Caenorhabditis elegans: one gene and its partners. The protein of the gene in region 3 interacts with the protein of the main gene of each other region in a pairwise test. Each region holds a gene or a part of one and is shown on either strand. Other genes may lie near its edges.

Region 1 (6,117 bases), on a different chromosome or scaffold from region 3:
AATTTGAACCATGTCGGTTTGATCCAACGCTGAAAATAAGTATTTGAAGAATTGATTAGAAAATGTCCAATGTAAATCTATAGACTATTTTGAATGCTTTAAAGTACAATTCATATTTACAATAGTCCAATATCCGCATCTCAAAAGTTCTAGAAGATTCCAGGAGATTTCTAAAACGTAAATCTCCAGCTGAAAATGACTTACCAGTCGCCATGATGATCACAGTAGAACTTTAATCCTTCGAAAACTGAGTGTGATAAATTCAGTATTGATTTTTTTTCCTAATCTTCAAAGTTCATCTGCCCAAAAAAATTCCAACAAGTGTGACACGGGGGCGGGTCACAAACAAAAACGTGAGATGTTATTATTTTAAGTCTTCTAGAATTCATTCTCCGTTACCGAGAAAACAATTTTTGACGTTGTTGTTTGCATTGATTCTCTTCTGAAAATAATGGGACAAAAGTGGAGTGGAACAGTTTCGGTAAGAATTTTAATATTGGAAATGTTCATTTTATTGTTCTGTTTCAGAAAACACCATCGAATCCAACTGTCTCTGTATGTGTTTTGTTTCAGAAAAATATCTAAAAAACTCAATTTTTGTTCAGAAATCTTCGTCGGCACCATCTTTAAAATCAACGCCGAAATCGGATAGAGAAGACCAAGAAAAGTCTAAGGTAAATCCTCTTCCCCTCAATAGTGGCCGAGTTTTCATTTTCACGGTCACTAATGAACCTTTGCCTAATGTTGCCACGTAACAGAAGTTCAATGAAGTTTTTTTAATCAAAATTTTGATAATGGCATGCTTCCGAAATACTTTTAATTTTCAGAACATGAAGCCATCGTCGTCGAGCAGTAATAGTCACCGGGCAGACCCTCCGAAGCCTAAAGAAGATGTAGGTTCTTATTTTACTGTGATTCACTAGTAGGATACGCTATATATGTTTCAAAATGTTTCGTGTATGCTCCTTTAAGATTACTGTAGGAAATTTCCAGGAAATTTCCAGTTACTTATTTTAAAAAAACTATCTTCTGTCTACAGTAATCTTAAAGGTGCATACCCACAAAATTACACTTCGCGTGGCGAGACCCATCCGCAGGAATATAATGTTTTACTTTCAGAATGTGTATGAGAATCTCAGCTACAAAGGTTAAAACCAACATGAAGATCTTTTCGTACATTTGTCCGATTGACTTTTTAAAATTATTTTTAATTTCAATAAATAGTTTTGAAGTCAAATTTGTTTTTCTATTTTTTTTTCACTCGAGATTAATGATCAACGACAAGTTTTGAATTTTCTGACATCTCCTTGGACACTTTCTGAATCTCTACGACTACCCGATGCCCGTTGAGAGGGAGCGATAAGTATGTCTTTCTAATTTTAGGGTTTCAAGATGTATTGGCTTTTTTTCTAAAAATTTCTGACACTTCTGGCTGAATTCTACAAAAAAATTTCACACGATGCCTATTATTTCATTTGCCACTGGATATATGTACTTGATATTCGGGTCATTTAAAGTTTTCAAAAATATTGGAATTTCGACGATGGAGTCGTATACTTTCAGTTTAATTCTCACAATTTTTATGTTTTTACATATTGAACGAATCGCGAGATCAACGTTTGGAAATGTAATTTGTCCAAGAAGTTTTGCTCTGCAAATGGTTCTAACACATTTCTCAATGATAATTGTCATTATTGTAATTGTTGGAATTGTATGGATCGCCCCTAGCACTGTACGTGATATTTCAATCCTTTTCCTAGATTTTACTATTTCAGATCACCCAAATCGTATCGTTTCTACTTTTTGCATTTTTCGGGTATCTTTTAAACATTGGTCCAGGAACATTCCCAACTTTCTCGGTGGCGGACCCATTTTACTGGAATCAGAATAGAGCAATTTCTCCTTCGTACGATAGAGCCTTCAAAACAGTTATGCTATGTGGTATCTCTTTCAGTTTCGTAGGTTTCCTCACAATCTGTAGTCTGAAATATTATCACAGGCGCACCTTGATTTTTTCTGGTATTCAATAGCATCAAGTTGTTTAATAATGTTTGATGTCATTTTAATGGCACACTATTGGGAAATTTTCGGTCCAGATGATCCGGGAGAAGAACCAAGGATTGATCATGTGGATAATTTGCATATGGATTGATAACTCTCGTACCTTAATCATTCTAAATTTTGAGAAACTTCCTCACAATAAAATAAAGCATCGAAAAATAAAGTTGTTGTGTTTCAAAATTTCGTAATTTTTCACAATGTTTTGAAACACACCTCAAAATAGTGCTATTCGGAATACTTTCATTCGTTCTGACTATCGCGTTGAACTAAAATTGTGAGTTTCTTTTTATCTAATACCTATGATTTTTAACAAATTCTGAAGAACTTATCAACAATTGTCTTTAACCAACAACTTATAAATACCACTAACTAAATTTTTCAGATTTTGTAAGAGAAATCTCTAAAATACATGTGTTAAATAAATGTCCAAAAAATATGAAACAATAAAATATGCAATACCCCCGAAAATTTTATTCAAAATATCAACACAATTGTTTGCTGAAGATGCGATGAAAAGAAAACGACACAGCTGAAACGAGTGTTACCGTAGTCATGCGCCTTTGACGCGCTCAGGTCTCGTAGTGAAACGAGGAAATAGCAGTTTTTCTCTTCAATTCCTAAACTTCTTTTCGATTTTTCAAGCCTTGGAATGATTTTTTTGCCTAATTTTTGATGTACAAAATTAGAAAATGATAGCTTTCAAATTTCCATTAAGCAAAAATTTTGATTCTCTGAAGGGTGTCGCTAATTTTTGTTGTTTTCGTGAAAATTTCTTTATTTGTGTACTTTATATTAATTTTTTACAGGAAACTCCAAATACTGGGTAGCAAGACGAAATGAGGTGAGTTTTTTAAATCATTTCCAATTGAAAGATCAGTCCAAGCGTCTTTTGAAGATATGACTTTCGTTTAATTGAGAATTGTGCAAAATTTGCATTTTTAATTATTGATTTTTCAGCAATCTCCGTCTGCAGAAACGTTTGGCTTCGGCCGTATTGAAGTGCGGAAAGCACCGTGTCTGGCTCGACCCCAATGAGGTCAGCGAGATTTCTGGAGCCAACTCCCGTCAAAGCATCCGCAGACTCGTCAATGACGGACTTATCATCCGCAAGCCAGTCACTGTCCACTCCCGCTTCCGCGCACGCGAGTACGAGGAGGCCCGCAGAAAGGTACATTTTTCTTTTAATTGATGCTGTCGATTTTTTAAAAGTTACATTTTAAGTTAAAAAAAAATATTTGGAATTTAGGGACGTCACACCGGTTACGGAAAGCGTCGTGGTACTGCCAATGCTCGTATGCCAGAAAAGACCCTCTGGATCCGACGCATGCGTGTCCTCAGAAACCTTCTGAGAAGATACAGAGATGCCAAGAAGTTGGACAAGCACCTTTACCACGAGCTCTACCTTCGCGCAAAGGGAAACAACTTCAAGAACAAGAAGAATCTCATCGAGTACATCTTCAAGAAGAAGACTGAGAACAAGAGAGCCAAGCAACTTGCGTAAGTTTTACTATTTTTAAATGATTTGTTTTTCCAAATTATTGAGAAGTCTTTCAATCAATTATTCATATTAAAATTCCTGATGATTTCAGTGACCAAGCTCAAGCCAGACGTGACAAGAACAAGGAGAGCCGCAAGCGCCGTGAGGAGAGACAAGTCGTCAAGCGTGCTGAGCTTCTCAGAAAAATTTCCCAGAGCGAGAAGGTTATCGCTGGAAAGTAAAACTTTGTTGTTTTCCTCTATAATGTCAATAAAGTTATTTGTTGAACTCTTTATAATCTGTTATTCTGCAGTTTTGGTAACCTTCTAACACTGTAACATTTTTCAGTCTCTCATGATACTTGGGTTAACCCTAATTAGGGATTGAATAGCTTGGAATCAATAATTCTTCAGGCGGGAGCGAGTAGAATGCGAATTGAAGCTCACCAGGTATTCAATGTGAGTATTCAATTATGCGAGTTCTTCAACGTCGACTTGTCTGATCGGGGTTATTACCAGGTTTTTAAAAACCACAAATCATCGCTTACGTTCAGTTCAGATTCGACTGAGGCCACGAAAAACAGCGGAAATTGGATCAGTAGACATATCACACGATACGGAAGGGGACCGGGATACTGGGTCCGTCGATTATTGATTTGTTCACTGGAATATTCTCTAATTTCAGGCCTAAAACATCGAGTAATATTCTTTTAGCACATGTCTATCAAGGAGCGGCTGTCAGTAAAACAGTTGAAGTAACTTATCAACATGAAAAATTCAATTTAGGTAATAAAATCATCGAAACACCTTTTTTTATCTTACTTTCAGATGATTGGTTCCATATTTCGGTGCAATTCAATTCGACATTGAACTTGTGTGAGCCTCAAAAATTAGAAATTGAAATTGAATTATTGTAAGACAGTCCAACAATTGATTAAACATAAAATCATGAATTAATATAGATACATGGACCGTTATCATCCTCCACAATATGAATCCTTCGTGAAAATCACAAAAAGAATTGTCGAAATTCCTCTGGATCCAACACGACTCGTCGCCGCCGCTCGTTCTTTATATTTTGACAGTACCTACCTATCTGCGATAACTATGAGTGTTTTTAGTAGTTTAGTTATGGTAGCCACGCGGCAACGGAAGGCAAATGCATCAGAATCGGTAAGAATATTCGAGCTTTTTGCGAAAAAATTTGAATGTTTTGGAAAATTTTGAAAAAAGAAACACCTAGGTTTTTCGTTGTGTTTTTTGAATTTTGAGCAGTTCTCAAATACGGAAAACGATCAAATCTTAAAATTTTGCTTGAATAAATATAAAAAATAGCTTGATGTTTAAAAATCTGATCAAACTGTTGCGTCAGTTATTACAGGCATCATCTACAAAAAGCACAAAACTCCGACGAGTTTATAACTCATCTGCACATGCTTTATTATTCGCAACTCGATCTATTCAACAGTTCATCGTCAATAATTCACGGCTCATTAATGCATCGGTTTCAGTTGGTATGAAACAAAAAAAAGTTAATTAATTCGAAAGCATTATTTTACAGTTGTTCTGGATGTACAAACAGAGATGAAAGCGGCTCTTCAACAATTCGATAGCTCAGATCATCCGACAAGATGTGTTGAGACCGATGTATGCGAATGGAGCACTAAAATTACCCTAATATATCAACAAATGTTGATTCTTTTTCGAAAATCAAAAGGTTTGTGTAATTCCTGTAAGAATTTAATCCGAAATTGTCTTTTTTTTTAAACTTGAACGGAATCGGAATCGATTTTTTCAGAGCTCAATCAACAACTGCTTCTCATTTTCGATAAACAACGTCGTGCAGTATTTCGTGAGGCATTTTGGATAAATGAACGACCAATCGATAAATGTTTAATAAGAACACCAGTATCGGTTCTCGAACATTATAAATCTATTATCAAGGTGGATTATTTGAGGAAGCTTCCACGCTGCACAATTTTCTGCGAAGAAACTGATTGTCCTGGAGAATTTTGGTAAATAATATTGATTTTATAAATATTCTCACAAAACAAGAAATTATTTCAGCCCGATTATCTTTGAAGATGTTTTTACTCGAAATTCTGTTGGATTGTTAGATTTGAATAATGCCAATAGGCAGGTCTGTTTCTTATAAAAATTTTGTTTTTGCTGTGTTCAACACAATTTTTTGCAAAAGTCGATATTATTAAAAAATTTTAAATTCAGGTTACCATTCCAAATAGTGCATCGATGCCGGTTGTGAAAGCCCATGAAAAACACAAATCATTCCGCGAAAAGCTACGTAACGAGACTAGAAAGTTGATTCATCCTCGACGTAAAAGTTTGGATTGCTCACAGTCTCTGTCTCGGAAACTGGTATGTTTTCTATTAAGAAAATGACAAATTATGAAAGAAAGTTGAAGGATGGAGGAGTAACTTCACGAAGCCGCACCAAGACACTGAAAGAAACCACGTCGACAGATGGAGGTGGTGGTCTACTGTTGAAAAATATTCCAAATTCGCAGGAAAATAATTTCTCTCCGGAATTTCCTGGGCCGTCTCGCGATACAGCAACGGAAA
Region 2 (7,566 bases), on a different chromosome or scaffold from region 3:
CCTGAAAATTCGCAAATTGTTTCCAAAAAACGGTAATCGTGGTGAGACCCAGCTGTTCTCGAAATTCAATGCGCCTTTAAATTTTGTAATCATTTCTTCATTTTTGGAGTGAATTTTGACGTTTTTCACTGCTAAAAGCGAGTTTTTAATCGGTTTTTTTTTCGATATTTTTGGGTTAAAATTCGCATATTTAATCCTAAAAATCAAGTTTTTGCCTAAAGTTGGCGGGAAATCCAAAAAAGAATTTTCACCATTTTCTTATTCAAAACATTTTTCGCGCCTTTTTCCCATCAAAAACATGTCAAATTCCCGTGAAAATGATGAAATCTGACGAAATTCCTCGTTTTCCGCGCGAAAAATCGCATTTTCCCACGAAATTCTGTTATTGACCTACACACAGCCGGGTGAGCGCGAATTTCGCCTAATTCGTTCGGTTTTCTCATCATTTCAAGGTCATTTTCGCACTCAATTCGCTCGTTTTTCACTTTTTTCGTCGTTTTTCCTTCTATTTGGAACAGTTTTTGGCAAAAATACGCCGGAATTGCAGGAAATTCCCGGTTTTTTCAGCTTTCCATTGGATTTTTTGCCGGATTTTCAGATAATTCAAGCTGTATTTTCAGCGATTTTTTCGAAATTGCCACCTTTTTTCCAGATTTTAAGGTTTTTTCTGAGGTTTTTGCAATTTTCTCGCAATTTCTTGGATTTCTGTCGATGTGCCAGCGTTTTCCTTCGAATTTGCACGATTTTGTCGATTTTTAGAGATTTTTCTCCAATTTTCAGCGTTTTTCATTGGTTTTTGAGAAAATCCTGCTATTTTTAATGATTTTTCAGTTGTTTCAGCAGATTTTAGGATTTTCCAGCGACTTTAACTGAATTTTCGCTCGATTATTGGCATTTTGAAGCTTTTCCTTCCGATTTGGCACTTTTTTCGGCGATTTCTCGAAAATTCGCCCATTTTCGCAAAAGTTCAAGGTTTTCCGGGCATTTTCTCAAGTTTCTCCGATTTATCTGTGAAATCTGCTCTGAAAACCAGAAATGAGCACAAAAACTCGATTTTCATATTTTCGAAGTAGTTTCTTCCGATTTGGCACATTTTTCCGGGGATTTTCTCAAAAATTCCCACATTTTCCAATGTTTTTTCGAAGTTTTGAAATTTCCCGCTTTGAAAATCCAGAAATAAGCCCAAAAGGAGCTCCACGGAGCCCGGTTTCATCAGAAAATTCGAAAATCAGCTGAAAAAAGGTCAGAATTTCAGTAAAACGCTCTATGGAGCCCGAGTATTTGCTCATTAAACGCTTCTGAATAAACAAATAAACATGAAGACGTAAAGCCAGACGGAGCTCCAACACGCACGGAGCAACTAATTTCGTTTGCAGTTCTTCTTCTTCTTCTTCACAAAAGACGCAGACACTTGCACACTGAAGACACAAGAGACACCAGACACTCTGTCCGTTCTCTGAGTCTCTGTGGCTTCCCGTGATCTCTCGTTGGCGCCCAGCGCCTGTCATTGGCGCTGCCCACGAATAGATAGTGTACGTGGAGTGGAGAGTCACCAGACAGAGCAATAGGGAATGTCCAGAAGCATCGGGAGGGATGAGAGGACGTGGCTGCAGTGCCCCCTGTTTCTCTGTGTCTCTGCGGTATTTCCCGTACTTTTTTTGGGGGGTTTCTTCTCCTTTGCAGCAGATCCCGAAATTCCTCGAATTTCGCATTTCCGCCGCCGCCCACTTTTTTCCAGCTTTTCCAGCAGCGATCTGGAATTTTTGAAGCTTTGACGTCCGTATTTTGAGATTTTGTTCCAAGAAATTTAGTTTTTTGAACTGAAAATCGAGGAAATCGACCGGTTTTGGGCCAGGTTTCTCTGAAAATTGGTGCCTAACCAGGGTTTCTAACTGACTTTAATGTTGCCCAGTTTTGGGATTTTTTTGGTCGGTAAAACCAAATTTTTTTTCCTAGAAAATTAATCTTATGGAAAAAAAAAACTGGATTTTACCTGAAATTTTCGAATTTACTGACTGTTTTAGTCTATTTTTTCGAGTGTTTCAAAGCAAAATTCCCACTGACACCGCCGGTAGGCAGGCAAGGCTTCAGAGAATGATGCCTGCCTGAAATCTGCCTGCCTTTCGCCTCTTTGCTGCATTTTGACATGAGTTTTCAAATTTTCTCATTTCTATCAATTTGTTAAAAAATCAAATTACACGTAACACGTATTGAGGCGAGAGTCAGGCGGAGTCGGTCGCCTCAAAGACAGGCAGGTAGGCCTACGTTCAAGGCCTACACACCAGGGGTGCCAGGCTGCCCATTTCGGTTTGATCTACACAAAAATGCGGGAGAGTTTGAGACGCGAGTTTTCAACCGATTTTGCATGGTTAAGAACGTGCTGACGTCACATTTTTTGTTGGGCAAAAAATTCCCGCATTTTTTGTAGATCAAACCGTAATGGGACAACCTGGGGACCACGTGGGCCTACAGAAGTGTGTTCCTAAACGACAAAAAGCCTACAATTTCTCTTCCTATTAGGTTTCTCAAGTATCAAAGTTTTTCATTGATTAACACAGGGATACACCCCCTCTCTTGATGATTTTCTATTTGACCTCGATATTTCGGAATTTCGGGTGTACTTTGTCGTTCCCCGCGCGCGGGCTGCGAAAACTTTTTTTTTAATATAAAAGTTGTCTCCACCGCGGCCCGCGCAATTGTCTTTACCCCAACGGAAATGCAATTATTATTGTCATTTTTATCACCACCATTTCAACTTTGCCGATCTCTGTGTGAAATTCTCAGTTGCCGTCCCCGAAAGTAAAGAAAAGTGCTCGAAATGCCACTTTTTTTTTTTTGGAAGAATTTTCAACTTTGAAATGGATTTTCCCGAAAAACTGGCATCTCAGCGAAGAAATTTCTCGGTTGTAGTGGAATTTTCTACTCAAAAACTCGATTTTTTTTTATTAAAAAATTCAAATTTCGAGGTATTTTAGTGGAATTTTCTATTGAAAACTCAATTTTTCACATTAAATCCCATATTTTTTCTTGGAAATTATCGATATTCAGCTTTAAAAATATGTGAAAAGTTGAAAAATGACTCCTTTGTCGATTTACGCAGCTCTTGTGTACTTCTCGAGGAGAAGAGAAGATTTGTACAGTTATAGTAAAAATGCGGCATTTTTGGATATTTTTACTAAAATTGTAACTCTTCTCCACGAGGAGTACACAAGAGCCGCGTAAATCGACACAGGAGTCATTTTTCAACTTTTCAGATATTTTAAAGCTGAAATATCGATAATTTTCAGAGAAGAAACATAGAAAATTCCACTAAAAACGAGAAATCCATTGAAAATAGCTCGAAATTCGGAATTTTTAATCGAAAAAAACGAGTTTTTGAGTAAAAAATCTCTATGAAAATGTGGGAAATTTGATATTTTCGAAATAAAATCGATTTTTCAGGGTTTTACACTGAAAAAGTGCCATTTTTTTCGAAAATTTCGAATTTTACACGTTTTCATAGAGATTTTTTACTCAAAAACTCGATTTTTTCGATTAAAAATTCCGAATTTCGATAATTTCTCCATTTTCCCACTTTTTTCTATAAAATTTCTAAAAATGCTAAATAATTTCAGCCAATGGACTCGTCATTCGTCGATCCATCAACAGCTCTCGGCATTCTCGGTGGTGTTGGTGTATTTGTGTTTGCAATTTATTATATGATATTCATGAATCGACAAGAGGATAATTTTGACAAGGTTCGGAACGATTTTCGTGGAAAAATTGAGATTTTTCACACGAATTCTGATCAGAAGAGTGAAATTTCAAGAGATTATCGACTTTTTTCGCTTAACAACCGGATTTTCCTTGACCTAAAATTGGCCTAAAACTTTTTTTTCCCCGCGAAAAAACCAGGAAAACTAAATTTTTACGAGAAAAGTGGATATTTTTCAGAGAATTCTGACTGAAAAGGCAATTTTCCTCGGATTTTCTCATCAAATTGACTGAAAATCTGCGAAAAATACCTTTTTGTGCCTGAAAATTGTTGAAAAAAATTAATTTTTATCAGAAAAACGGCATTTTCAGCAAACTTTTATTCTAAAAAAGACGATTTTTAACGAGGAATTCGATATTTTTTCCGAGAATTTTGACTTGAAATGAGCAAAATTGCTCTTTTTCACTTAAAAAAAACAATTTTCCTATCAAAAATTGGATTTTTATCGAAGTTTTCCCAAAAAAAGAAGGTTTTCGGTTCAAAATTGGCTTCTTTCGGTTTTTTAAGGCAAAAATGAACAAATTCAGGCCAAAAATGCCAATTTTCAGGTGTAAATTTAAAATTTCAACACAAAAATCGTCTTTTTGTTTTTTTCGATGAAATCTTCGCTGAAATTCGGTTTTCCTGATAAAAATTGGTTTAAAAAATGGGAATTTAGGCACAAAAATGTCGTTTTTTGGGGGAAATTCTGAATAAAATACGATTATATTTTCAAAAAAAAAAAACAAATATTCCAAGGAATTTCTCCAAAAAGAAGGATTTTTGTGTGCTGAAAATTGGCATTTTCAGTCAAAAAAAAAACTGTAAAAATCTATAAATTTTTCAAATTTTCAGGCTTACAACCGCGACGCATTGGCTCTTTTGACTGACAACAACGAGAAGAAGAAACAGCCAAAAAATAAGACAAAGAAGCAACAGCAAACGGGCAAAAAAGCACAAGATGCCGCTCCAGCTCCGGCTTCAGCTGCTCCAGCTGCTCCAAATGCTCCAACTCCAACGGCTCAGCAACAACCATCACCAAAAGCTTCTGCTGCTCCAATTCCAGAAAAACCGGAAATTCAAGTCCAAAAAGTGGAATCTACTCAGGCTTCTGCTCCAATTCCAGCTCCAGCAGCTCCAACAACTCAAAAATCGTCTCCAAAAGAGCGAAAATCGGTGAATTTGAAGGATTTGGATCAGAAAAAGGTGCTCAACAAGCTCTCCGGACTCCCAGAACTCGATGAAGCTTATATTCAATTCTTGGCTGGAGCATTCCGTGATTCTGATGCTCAGAAGAATAATTTGAGTCTGGAAGTTAAGGCTTTGAACAAGAAGATGACGGAATCTGCTGTGAAAATTGAGAAATTGAATAAAGAAAAGATGGCTGTGGAACAACGCGAGAAACACGAGCAGTATGTCGATTTTTTACGCGGAAAATTGAGAAAAATCGTGAAAATTGATGAAAATTGGTCTAAAAATGATAATTTTGTGCGAAAATTCAAGAATTTCGATGGAAAACGTGGAAAAATCACGAAATTTCATGAAAATTGGGCCAAGAATGATATTTTTTCGTCCGAAATTTAAAAATTCTGAACTAAAATTGCTGACCACGCATTTCTGACAAAAAAAGAGGCAATTTTCTCCAAAATTTGATGAAAAATCGTTTTCTCAGTCGAAATGCACCATAATTTAGTCAATTTTGACGGAAATTAGGCAAAATCGATTGAAAATTTCCAATTTCCCGCCGAAATTTGACTTTTCGACGATTTTTCGTTAGCAAACAGCTGAAAAACGACATTTTGGCCGTGAAAATTGTAGAATTTTGTTTTAAAAATTACTATTTTCAGCCTAAATTGTTGTACAACGGTAAAAACCCTAATTTATTCAAAAATTTAACTTTTCTGTCTTGAAAATCGGGCTGAGAACCGACAGTTTTACGCAAAAAAATGCTCCAAATTTGTGAAAAATCCCTAAAAACTTCTTAAAATTGAGCTCAAAGAGTCCGAGCAGGCATTCCTTTCAAAAAACGGTGAATTTTAAGAAATTCGCCAAAAATTACAAATTCCAGCAAAAAATTCAACTTTTGGTCTTAAAAATCGGCTAAAAAAACGCTGAAATTGCTGGAAAAATTTTCAATTTTCCGCTTAAAATCTCTCTAAAAACCTGCAATTTTTCAGTGCTCAACGCCAAAAAAAGCTCTAAAAATGTGAAAAAACCCAAAAAATTGCACTTTTGAGCCTAAAATCCGAATTTTCTCCTGTTTTTCAGAGCTCAACGCCAACAACTCTTGCAAAAAGTGGCTCAAAATCAGGCTCACGAATCAGAATTGGCTCGTCAAATTCAGGGAATTGAAGGAAAACTTCGTGTGAAAGAGCAAGAACTTGTTGCCGCAGGAAAAGCTGTCAAAAATAATGAAGAGCATGAGAAAGAGCTGAAGCTGTTGAGAAGCACGAATTCGAGTTTTTCAACAGAGCTGAAGACGATTCGAAAGGAACATGAAGCTCAGTTACAGAAGAAACAAGAAGAATGGAAGAAGCTACATGAGCAGTTGGAGCAAGAAAAGGAGAAGCTTATTTCGGAAAAAGAGCACGCAAAACAGACACATTTGAAGCTGGCGGCAGCTGTTGAAAATGTTGAAGCTGAACTTGAAAAGCAAGGAAAAGAATGGATTCAATTGAGCACACACAATCAAACATTGAAACAACACAATTTAGAGTTGGAAGCTGCTCTTTCAGTGGCAAAAGCTCGAGATCAAGACGGAGAAGCTCAGAAATGGACGATGGAAAAAGCTCAGATGATTGAGAATTATACGCGATTGGAGGCACTTATCGGGGAGCTCAATCGAGATATTTCAGAGTTTCACGAATAGTGAGTAGATGAACAATTTTCGAGGAAAATCTGAAAATTTTCAGAAAAACGGAAATTTATGTTAAAATCGAGAAAACAGGCAATTTTTGCGCTGAAAAACCGAAAATTTCGAGTTTTTCCACCCTATTTTTGGTCTAGAATCGGTCAAAAATGAGCAGCAAAGTCATGAAAAAACTGAATAATTTGAAAAAAAAATGCACGTTTTGACCAATATTTCACTGATTTTTACCTAAAAACTGCTGAAAAGGAGACAATTTTGGAGAAAATGTGAGAAAAAGCTCGAAATTCTACTCGATTATAGGAAACAGGCAATTTTAGTGCTGAAAATTTGAAAATTTTGTAATTTCTAACGGAAAGTGCTGATTTTCCCTTAAAAATCTATAAAATTGTGCTTTTTTGCAAAAAAATTCGTTTTTTCACTCAAAAATGGGCAATTTCAGTCGGAAATTGATTAATTTTGCTTTAAAAAAACTCGAGAAAAACTCAAATTTCCATTGAAAGCCAAAACTCGAAGAAAATCGACAAAAATGGCCGGATTTTTCTCAAATTTCGCCAAAAAAAAAGGCCAAATTTCTGTGGAAAATTGGCGATTTTCCACTATAAAATTGAAAAAATCGCAGAATTTCACCTGAAAAACTTTTTTTTTAACCAAAAATCCACGAAAAACCCGATTTTTTCCGTAAATTCTGGGAAAATCAACGGATTTCAATTGAAATGCATTTTTTTTTTCGATCAAAAACGATTTTTTTTTGAGCTGGAAAGGTGAAATATTGAGAAATTATCATTTTTTACCCGGAAAAAGGCAAAAAAGGCAAATTTTAAATTAAAAAAAAACTAAAAATCCAAGGAAAAACGCTCAAATTCTCGTAATTTTGCAGCAAAAAGCAACAAGAAGTGATTGTGAATGAGCTCAATCATCGTGAAAAAGCTCATTTGGATACAATTGAGCAACTCCGTGAGCAAAT
Region 3 (8,432 bases):
AATATGCATTGTTTGTTTTGCAGCACATTGATGATGATGAAGAGTGAGTTGAATTTTAGAATCTTTCAATTTATAAATATATTTATCCAGAAGATCAACAGCAGTTCGTTCCCTCCTCGACCGTATTGCTCGTTTCACCGACAATGATATGTTTGATTCTATTTCCGAACAGTTCGATATTCCTTCGGAATGGATTGCTGATGCTCAATTCTCAATTGCAAAGTCAGTCGATGATTCTACCCAACTTTTCGAATTGGCTGTGGCTGCAAAGAACTATCTGGAAATTTGTCGCTTATTTGTGGATGATATTGCACCAACTGCAGTTGTAGCTGGAGATCATGACGCTCTCAAAGCAGCATGCGCGATGGTTCGTCCTTTCGAAAATCAGATTCCCGAGTGGGGTGCGACTGGAATGGTCTACACTGATTATTGCCGATTGATCAATTTGATCGAAAATGATGCGGAAGAAGAACTCTTACAGGACGTGCTTGAAAGTCTGGAAACTCGTCTACATGCTCCTACAATCAGCAAGAACAGTCTTCAAAAGTAAGCTATTGGGACATAAGTTTTTTTTAAAACTATTTATATAATTTCAGGCTCTCTCTTCAAACAATTGGACGTGTTTTGTTCGAGTACCGTGCTGATAAGAATACACTTCCAGAGTGGACAAAGCTTCTCGGACATCGGCAAATGTTTAAGATCTTCCGTGATCGTTCGTCTTGGGGAATCGAAAGATTCACAATTGAATTTGACTAGACTAGCCACTTTTTAATTTATTCATTTTTCACCTGATTCTAATTTTATTTTTTTTATTTACATTTTCCTGCCCTCTCCGTCTGTCTTCCTCGTATATCATCATTTCCCGAATCGTCTTTTTATTACTATGAATATGAACTTTTTGTAGGATGTTATTACTGTTGTGTTCTATTCACATGAGAAAACTAGTACAGAAATTTAGAAATCAGCAAAACGATAAATTGAGTACTCGAATTTAATTTAAAATTCAATTTCCGACCACGCGATGATGTTAATCTAGTACATCTTGATAAAAGTTGCTAAATAAATGGAAAGTTTTCTTGAATAATTCAGTCTGGCGGATTTAGCCAGTAGGAATGATCGTTTCTTAATTGGAGTGGTTCGCTTCGTTTTACGAGGTAGAGCAATTCGGGAGGCCCCACGAAAAGGGGAGCAGAACGAAAAGGGGATCTGCAAAAAGGGGATCTGCGAAAAGGGGAGATACGAAAAGGGGAGCAACGAAAAGGGGATCTGGCACTGTGCCAAACGCTATTTTCCTCGAAGAAAACGATACAACGATGCTCCGATGTTACGCGTCGCGTGTTGTTAAGCGTATCTTCTAGAAGAAAATTTCAAAAATCAACGTGCGCTGCGTGAGAAAAATTGCGTTTTGTGCGTTTGGCACAGTGCCAGCTCCCCTTTTCGTTGCTCCCCTTTTCGCAGATCCCCTTTTTGCAGATCCCCTTTTCGTTCTGCTCCCCTTTTCGTGGGGCCTCCAATTCGGTTATAGCTTATGCTTAGACTTAAAATTAAGCGTAGGCTTATGTTGATCTTCAGTTTTTTTTTTTTCAAAAAAGTTGTCCAAGAGTAATACCTTCAACGGACATTCAGCTTGTTTGACGAAACTAAGAGAATTCAATTTTGGTCCCTGCTCTGAATATCATTTGATAGATAGATAAACAAGAATTTTCATTTTACTATTGTGATCAAACAACTCAATGAAACGGGAAAGAACACTGAAAGATAAAAAGTGTGAAACAATGAGAAAATAAGTTAGGAAATCGCAATTTAGAATCCAGTATAATCTTGCTGCTTTGCAAGTTCGAGAAGCATCGGATCATCGAAGAACTTGTTAACGGAGACATCTTCAGACAAACCCTTGCGTCTTCTGGTCTTGATCATGAACTCTCTGGCGAGATGTGGAGTTGGCTGGACGTCGAGAGTCTTGATAACAATGGATTTATCGAGTGGATCTCCTGGTACGAGTTGCCAATGATGGAAAGCAGACATACAGAATGCTTGTCCCTGTGTGTGAATTCGAAGATCAGTTTCGAATCCGAACGAGTCCATTACTGGAATGTACGCCTGAAAATCATAATTTTAGAATATCATAAAACTATTTTAATGTGTGTTCTCTTTTAACATTATATTTAAACTCACGCTGATAGTGTACATAGGTGATCCTGGCATTGGTGCATCAGTGGTGACGTGACCACGTCGTTTAGCTAACACTGTATATACAGCAGCTACACAATCAGCTGGTGCAACAACTTCCACTGTATAGTATGGCTCCATTAATCTTGGCGTGGCCATAAGGAATGCAGAATAGGCACATCGGCGTGCAGTTGGGATCATCTGACCTCCACCTCGATAAAGTGGTTCTGTGGCGATTGCGGCATCGAGAAGTTTGAACTTCACTTGACGAATTGGTTCCTCACACAATGGGCCTTCTCTGGTTGCCCATTGGAATCCTTGAACAAGAGATTCTCTGACAGTTGATAGCAAGTGTTTGTCAACTTCCGATGGCAATGTGTCATCTAGAAGAATGTTGGGTCCTGTAGTATCAGGGCCAAATGCCCAAATTGAACGAGCTGCCAAAAGATCCCAGTTGTACTTGGTCTGGAAGAACTCTCCAAGACGCCGTCTATTCCATCCGATTTGAACAACTTCATTTTCGATGTCCTCATCCAACTGTTTTTCTAGAGGTTCAGCCATCATTGTGATTTTATTTCTGAAAAAATTGATTAAAAATTATTGTTTTGAAAAAATTGAATGAAAACCCACTTTTTGTTGGGAGTCTCTGCAAAACATTTCAGCGTACTCGTTTCGATGACAGTCTCGTTGAATGTGACAACTGGATCAGCAACTTTGATATCAATCTCTGAGAACACCTTTCGCATGTCGTGCATCACACAGTCCATATAAAATTCTCCAGTTCCGAGCAACACGTGCTCTCCGGATTCTTCAACTCTAGTCGTCAGCAACGGATATGACTTGTTGACTTTTCTCAAGCCATCCAACATTTTCGGGAGTTCGGATGGATTAATCGGCTCTACGGCAAGTTTCACGCAACTGCGAGTGTTGAATTTGAGAGGACGGAAAATGTAGACATCTTCCTCGTATCCCAACTCAGCAATGGTTGCAGTTTTAACAATTGGCTGATCAATTCCTTCAATAAGTACCCAGCAACCTGCAGGAACACGAGAAACTTCAATCTGATAACTGGCAACACGCACAAATAGTCTTCCAACTGTCATTCTTCGGCAATCTTCTTCATCTTGAATACTGTAGTTCTCTCCAAGTACACGGACGTCTGTATTTGCTTCCAATGTTCCGCTCATAACACGTCCAAATACATGGAACTGAGTTGCATCATCTACGGGATAATTCTTTGTTGTATGAACCATCAATGGTCCTTCAGCATTACATTTCTGCATTTCTTGAGCCAATTGGGAATCAGCTGGTCCAAGATATGTCTGCTCGATTTTAGTTTTCGCATTTTCAAGTGGTGATTTGATATTTTGAACCACCAAATCAACAAATGCACTGAAATCTCCAAAGAAGCGTTTACAGATGAGAGCAATCAATGGACGGACATTCATTTTCTGTTCTTCTTTTGACAAACGAATTCCCAACTCAGCCATCACATCAGGAAGGCAAGTATCGACATCTCCGACGACTTGCGAAAAGATCTTGTACATTGGCTCGAGAATGAACTGCACAAATGTACGTGGAGCATCATGGGACGGCGACTTCTTTACGAATTTGCGAGTTTTCTTCTCGAAGTAAATATCTCCCCAGAGACGGCGAGCAAACTCCTTTGAGTTGAAGGAGTCACCTGGAAAATAAAAATCGTGCAAGACATTAATTTCGTAAGCTTCTTACCATGTTGTTTCGCATAGATATTCGAAAAAGACAATAGAGAAAAGCAGACATTGTATCGTCCCGATGAAAAAATAACGTTGCCGTTAAGTGGAGAGAGTACTGGAACGTCTTCTTCGGCAAAAGTGCTCAATATATTATTGACTTGATCAATGATAAGACGGAGTTTGAAGTAAGCATCTGCTGGTGGAAGCTTCAACTCAAGAAGCAAGCGGTCGATCTTCGAAATGCACAATGTTACTGCAAGCCTCTCTTGAATCGCGTGGCGAATTGCTCGTTCAGTGTTCATCATAACACCTTCATGAGCATCAACCATCACAACAACTCCATCAGCAAGACGGTATGAAGCAGTCATTTCGTCCGAAAAGTTCACGTGACCTAAAATAATATATTTTGTACGAATGAACCACTATAGTTTAGGTACCTGGAGTATCAATTATATTGAGCAAATAGCTTTTGCTTCGACTATCCTGAGCCACAATGCTCACTGGCTGAGATTTAATCGAGCATCCTCTCTGCTTCTCAATGAACAAGATATCAGTAAATCGAGCATCTGCGTCTTCAGCTCTGTAGAACTCTGGATGAGTTTGTTCCATAAGACAATCCAAGAAAGTCGTCTTTCCGTGATGAAGATGACCAGCGATTGCAACATTTCTCATGATATGAGGGCAGTCCATTAAATCAGCTAAATATTCTTTCTTGTAGACAGTTTCCGGGAGAAAACGCTCAGCGGCTTGAAACTTCTTCTTGGATACTGGTTTGACAATTGGTTCAGTGAGTGGCTGAGCGTCTTCCTCTTGGACCAAGGTTTCTACACCTTCCCCGTATACTTCGAGAGCTGTAGCATAGTACTTTTTATCTTCATGAAGAACAACTTGATTCTGGGGAATTTCTTCTGCGTCATCTTCTTCCATTCTGTCTGGTTCATCATCCTCATCCACATCGCTACGATCTTCATCATCACCATTGTCATCAATATCTCCGGCATCATCGTCAGAGTCTAGCTCTGGACCGATATAGTTACCAAACTCATCGTAGAGATCCGAATCCATCGCTCGAGACGTTCAGTTCTGAATAATTAATTCGGTTATGAAAGACTTTCAAAGTAAAAAAGAAGAAATATACAGAGAAGTGAGTATTTGCCTAAAACAAAGAGTCCCAATGAGAATATAGAGCAAATATAAGAGCCAAGATTCAAAAGCAAAAAATACAAATCAAGAAGTAACTATGAACACACATTTTGCGCTTGGAAATATGCTAAAATGTGGTTTAAGATATTTTTTCAGCTTAAGAATTCGTTTTCGAAAATCGCTCCCCGACGTTTGCAGTGGAGCGCAGTTGTGGTACTTTCTACAGTAATCCACATTTCCAGAACAGCTCAATTATTCTTGGAAAATCGGTCAATTCTTGCAAATGTTTTTACGAAAAATTGAAAAATAATTAAAATATCATTTTTCTACTCAAAAAAAACGACTTGCTCGAGCAAGTCGAGCAAGTCGCGCTCCAAATAAACCTTGTTCAAAGTTTTGCTCGTCATTTCTGGCAACAAATACGCAATTGCACCAACGGCGCTTAATTTGCCGCCAATCAAAAATTTCAAAGATTAAAATTATTTTTCTCGTATTCTGCAAATCTTCTGTATTCCTCAATGCCTACACCATTTCGAGATCTTCATAACAAAAGTAATGCTTCAGCGTCATCGTACGAGTAAGTTTTTTGGAAGGATTTTAAGATTGTAGGAACATTTTTTGCAGAACAGCATGGAGTTCCAGCTTCAGCAGTCGAAGATCAACTAATAATGATAGCAAATCCAACTTAAAAGAAATTGCAAGCAGTAAAATTCATATATGATGAGCTAATTCTAAAATTTCAGAAAGATGAGCCAATATCAAATCTCGACGAAAGCATTTCAATTCTAGAAAATAATATATCCATGATGTCAGTTAGCTCTCCAACACCAGCCTATAGAACGCCTGCAAGAGTCATTGCAAGAGAAGCTCCAATGACTCCTGGTGATAGATTACTTCAGAAAATTGAAAAAGAAGATGAGAGAGATATGCTTCGACAGTTATATCCGGAAATGTTTGATTCCAACCAGAAACCACGTCAGAAACCAAAAGAAGTCAAAAAAGCATTGGTAATGTTCATATTTGAAATCTGAATATTTTAAAATTCAAAAGTTCAGAAAGTGGAGTCATTGTCAGATTATGAGAATGATGACAAGGAAAATGTTCCTCCGTGTGGAAAACCTTCGAAGGAAAAAGAAGAAAAGAAACAACGAACAAAGAAAATAGTTATTTCATCCGATTCAGAAGATGATGGAAACTTTGAAAACTGTAAACGATGCTCCAAAAAATATTCCGTTTTAATTTTAATTTTTTTAGATCTCAAAACTCTCCGAGAAAAGCCAACGGAGCCAGCTAAACCAGAGAGAAAAATTCCAGTTAAAAAAGATTTTGTAGTTGATGATGATTATATAAGCGAAGAAAGTTCAGAAGAAGAATCTGAAGAAGAGGAAGAAGATGTCGACGATGAAGAATATCGAGAATCAAGTCCAGAAGTTGAAGCGAAGATTAGCTATTCTGATAGAAAACAGAAGAAGCGACCAACTGACGAAGAAGAATGGTTTCTTCTGTCATTGAGTGAGAAGTTCTCAGGACCAATGTAAGATAATTTTTGAGAAATCGAAAATCGAAAATGCTCATTTTCCAATATTTCAATTTCTCTAAATAACGTCAAATTGTGGCGAATTTCCTTTTTTTTTGAAAAAAAATCATGCTTTTTTATCATCAAGATTAACCAACTTAAATCGATTAAAAATGAATTTTTTGTTTTCTAAACATTTTTTCCCATTTCAGTTTTCCGGAAAAGCTAAAAAATTTCCTTTAACGATATAAGATTTTTAGATTTTAGATTTTTCTGAAAAAAAAATCGAACAAATTTTTAGGACACCCTTGCTCTCGATAATTTTCCTACAAGTTTTGCAGAATAAAAATTAATTTTATAAAAAATATAATATAGAGATTAGTTGCTTAAAAAATATTTTTCCAGACACGAAGATGCCAAGGTGTATATCAAGGAAACATCTCTACGTTATAAAAAGCATCGCGAATCCCTTCTCACACGTCTTCAAGACATCCTGGTTCGCCGAATCTTTTCAGCAATTCCATCGGAAAAGCTGAAAGTCATATGGAACGCACGCCTTCGAAAATCAGCTGGCCAATGCAGAAATCATTCAAATGGAAACAGCACTGTCGAAATGTCACCAGTAGTATGTACAACTGCTGAACGAGTACGAGATACACTGATCCATGAACTGTGTCATGCAGCAACATGGGTGGTCGACAGGCTTCATAAAGAAGGTCATGGCCCAGGATGGAAGAGATGGGGAGCTCGATGCTCTTCGGTGTTCAAGTCACTTCCATTTATTGAAAGATGTCATAGTTATGAGATTGAGGCAAAGTTCTTCTATGTTTGTGAGAAAGATGGATGTGATGTAGAGTAAGTTTTTTAATTTATCTAGATATATCTGATAATTCATTAAAAAATAATTTTCGAAAATAATACGTCCAAAAAATAATATAATTTAAAATTTACCTTATTTTTCGGGATTTTGAACTGTCACAAAAATTTATTAATAGTCACAGTCTTATCGACTAGAATTTATAGGAGAGTCTTATAGGGAAGCAAAACACCAGAACCGTCAATCTGATAAATTTCCAATTTCCAATACATAAAAATATAATTTTTCTCCAGAATAAAGCGTCAATCGAAATCTCTCGACACCTCACGAAAAGCGTGCGGAAGATGTTTTGGCAGATTCATTCTCTACCGTTATTGCCGCCGAACGAATACTCGAATCCGTATTGAAGATCCTAAAGCCAAGCCGGTTGGTCCAATTCTTTCCAATTCCTCAAAGCCATCTCCACCAGCTCCTCGTCGTATTGTCAGTGAGCATCCAGAAGGCTTCAAGGAATATTCTGAAGAACACTATTGGAAATACACTGCACAAGGACTAAAACATTCGGATGTGATGGGGAAATTACTAAAAGAATTCAAGGAGCTCAAACAATTATAAATTATTGCTATCATTTATCCGTGCCATGTGCCATTTATCAAAATTTAGTTTGAATTAATCTACGTCAGATTTCTGGATCTTATCGAAAGATTCCCGATTGTGATCAAAGTATTTGATTTTTTCAGAATTTCTTTGTGTTCTTTCTTCAAATCAAATTCATCTCCAAGAGATTTAATTTGATTAATACTCAATAAATATATATTTATTTCACCTCCTATTTTTCGAAAAATATTATAAATAGCTCATACTTGACAGGGGGGGATTGAAAAAGAGGCTAAGATTGGAGGAAAAATAATAATTAACTTTTAAAATTGGCCATAGTTTGGGCGAGAAATTAAGAGAATAGAACAGATGTAGAGGGGGAATACTATTCAATGGGAAGGGACGGAGAACTCGTAACGCGTTCGAAAAAAGTGTGCGGTTCTTGGGTCTCGCACAGAAGGAATAAAGAATCTCA

Evidence for each region.
Region 1: the proteins of eftu-2 (region 3) and rpl-19 interact in a two-hybrid assay, tested with the Caenorhabditis elegans proteins (one large-scale study listed by BioGRID).
Region 2: the proteins of eftu-2 (region 3) and tcc-1 interact in a two-hybrid assay, tested with the Caenorhabditis elegans proteins (one large-scale study listed by BioGRID).

The regions. Positions count from the first base shown.
Region 1 is NC_003279.8:5,482,493-5,488,609, reverse strand, and holds rpl-19 (Large ribosomal subunit protein eL19), read left to right. Parts: upstream 1-2,867; 5' UTR 2,868-2,897; coding exon 2,898-2,902; intron 2,903-3,018; coding exon 3,019-3,229; intron 3,230-3,307; coding exon 3,308-3,558; intron 3,559-3,650; coding exon 3,651-3,780; 3' UTR 3,781-3,831; downstream 3,832-6,117. Other genes in the region: C09D4.3 (Protein kinase domain-containing protein), read right to left, coding at 1-29, 205-214; C09D4.9 (Protein AF-9), read left to right, coding at 452-481, 529-555, 606-674, 828-893, 1,120-1,152; C09D4.6 (Cytochrome b), read left to right, coding at 1,460-1,891; C09D4.4 (DUF676 domain-containing protein), read left to right, coding at 3,967-4,056, 4,097-4,176, 4,223-4,323, 4,366-4,450, 4,500-4,710, 4,910-5,051, 5,099-5,254, 5,336-5,552 and 3 more.
Region 2 is NC_003283.11:17,852,038-17,859,603, reverse strand, and holds the start of tcc-1 (Ribosome-binding protein 1), read left to right. Parts: upstream 1-3,614; 5' UTR 3,615-3,617; coding exon 3,618-3,737; intron 3,738-4,588; coding exon 4,589-5,145; intron 5,146-6,001; coding exon 6,002-6,601; intron 6,602-7,479; coding exon 7,480-7,566.
Region 3 is NC_003281.10:6,006,097-6,014,528, reverse strand, and holds eftu-2 (Tr-type G domain-containing protein), read right to left. Parts: upstream 4,970-8,432; 5' UTR 4,950-4,969; coding exon 4,322-4,949; intron 4,276-4,321; coding exon 3,901-4,275; intron 3,854-3,900; coding exon 2,800-3,853; intron 2,747-2,799; coding exon 2,176-2,746; intron 2,101-2,175; coding exon 1,804-2,100; 3' UTR 1,689-1,803; downstream 1-1,688. Other genes in the region: npp-10 (Nuclear pore complex protein Nup98), read left to right, coding at 1-43, 91-546, 597-756; gcna-1 (Germ cell nuclear acidic-1 protein), read left to right, coding at 5,546-5,604, 5,652-5,724, 5,771-6,034, 6,083-6,233, 6,282-6,561, 6,949-7,398, 7,654-7,975.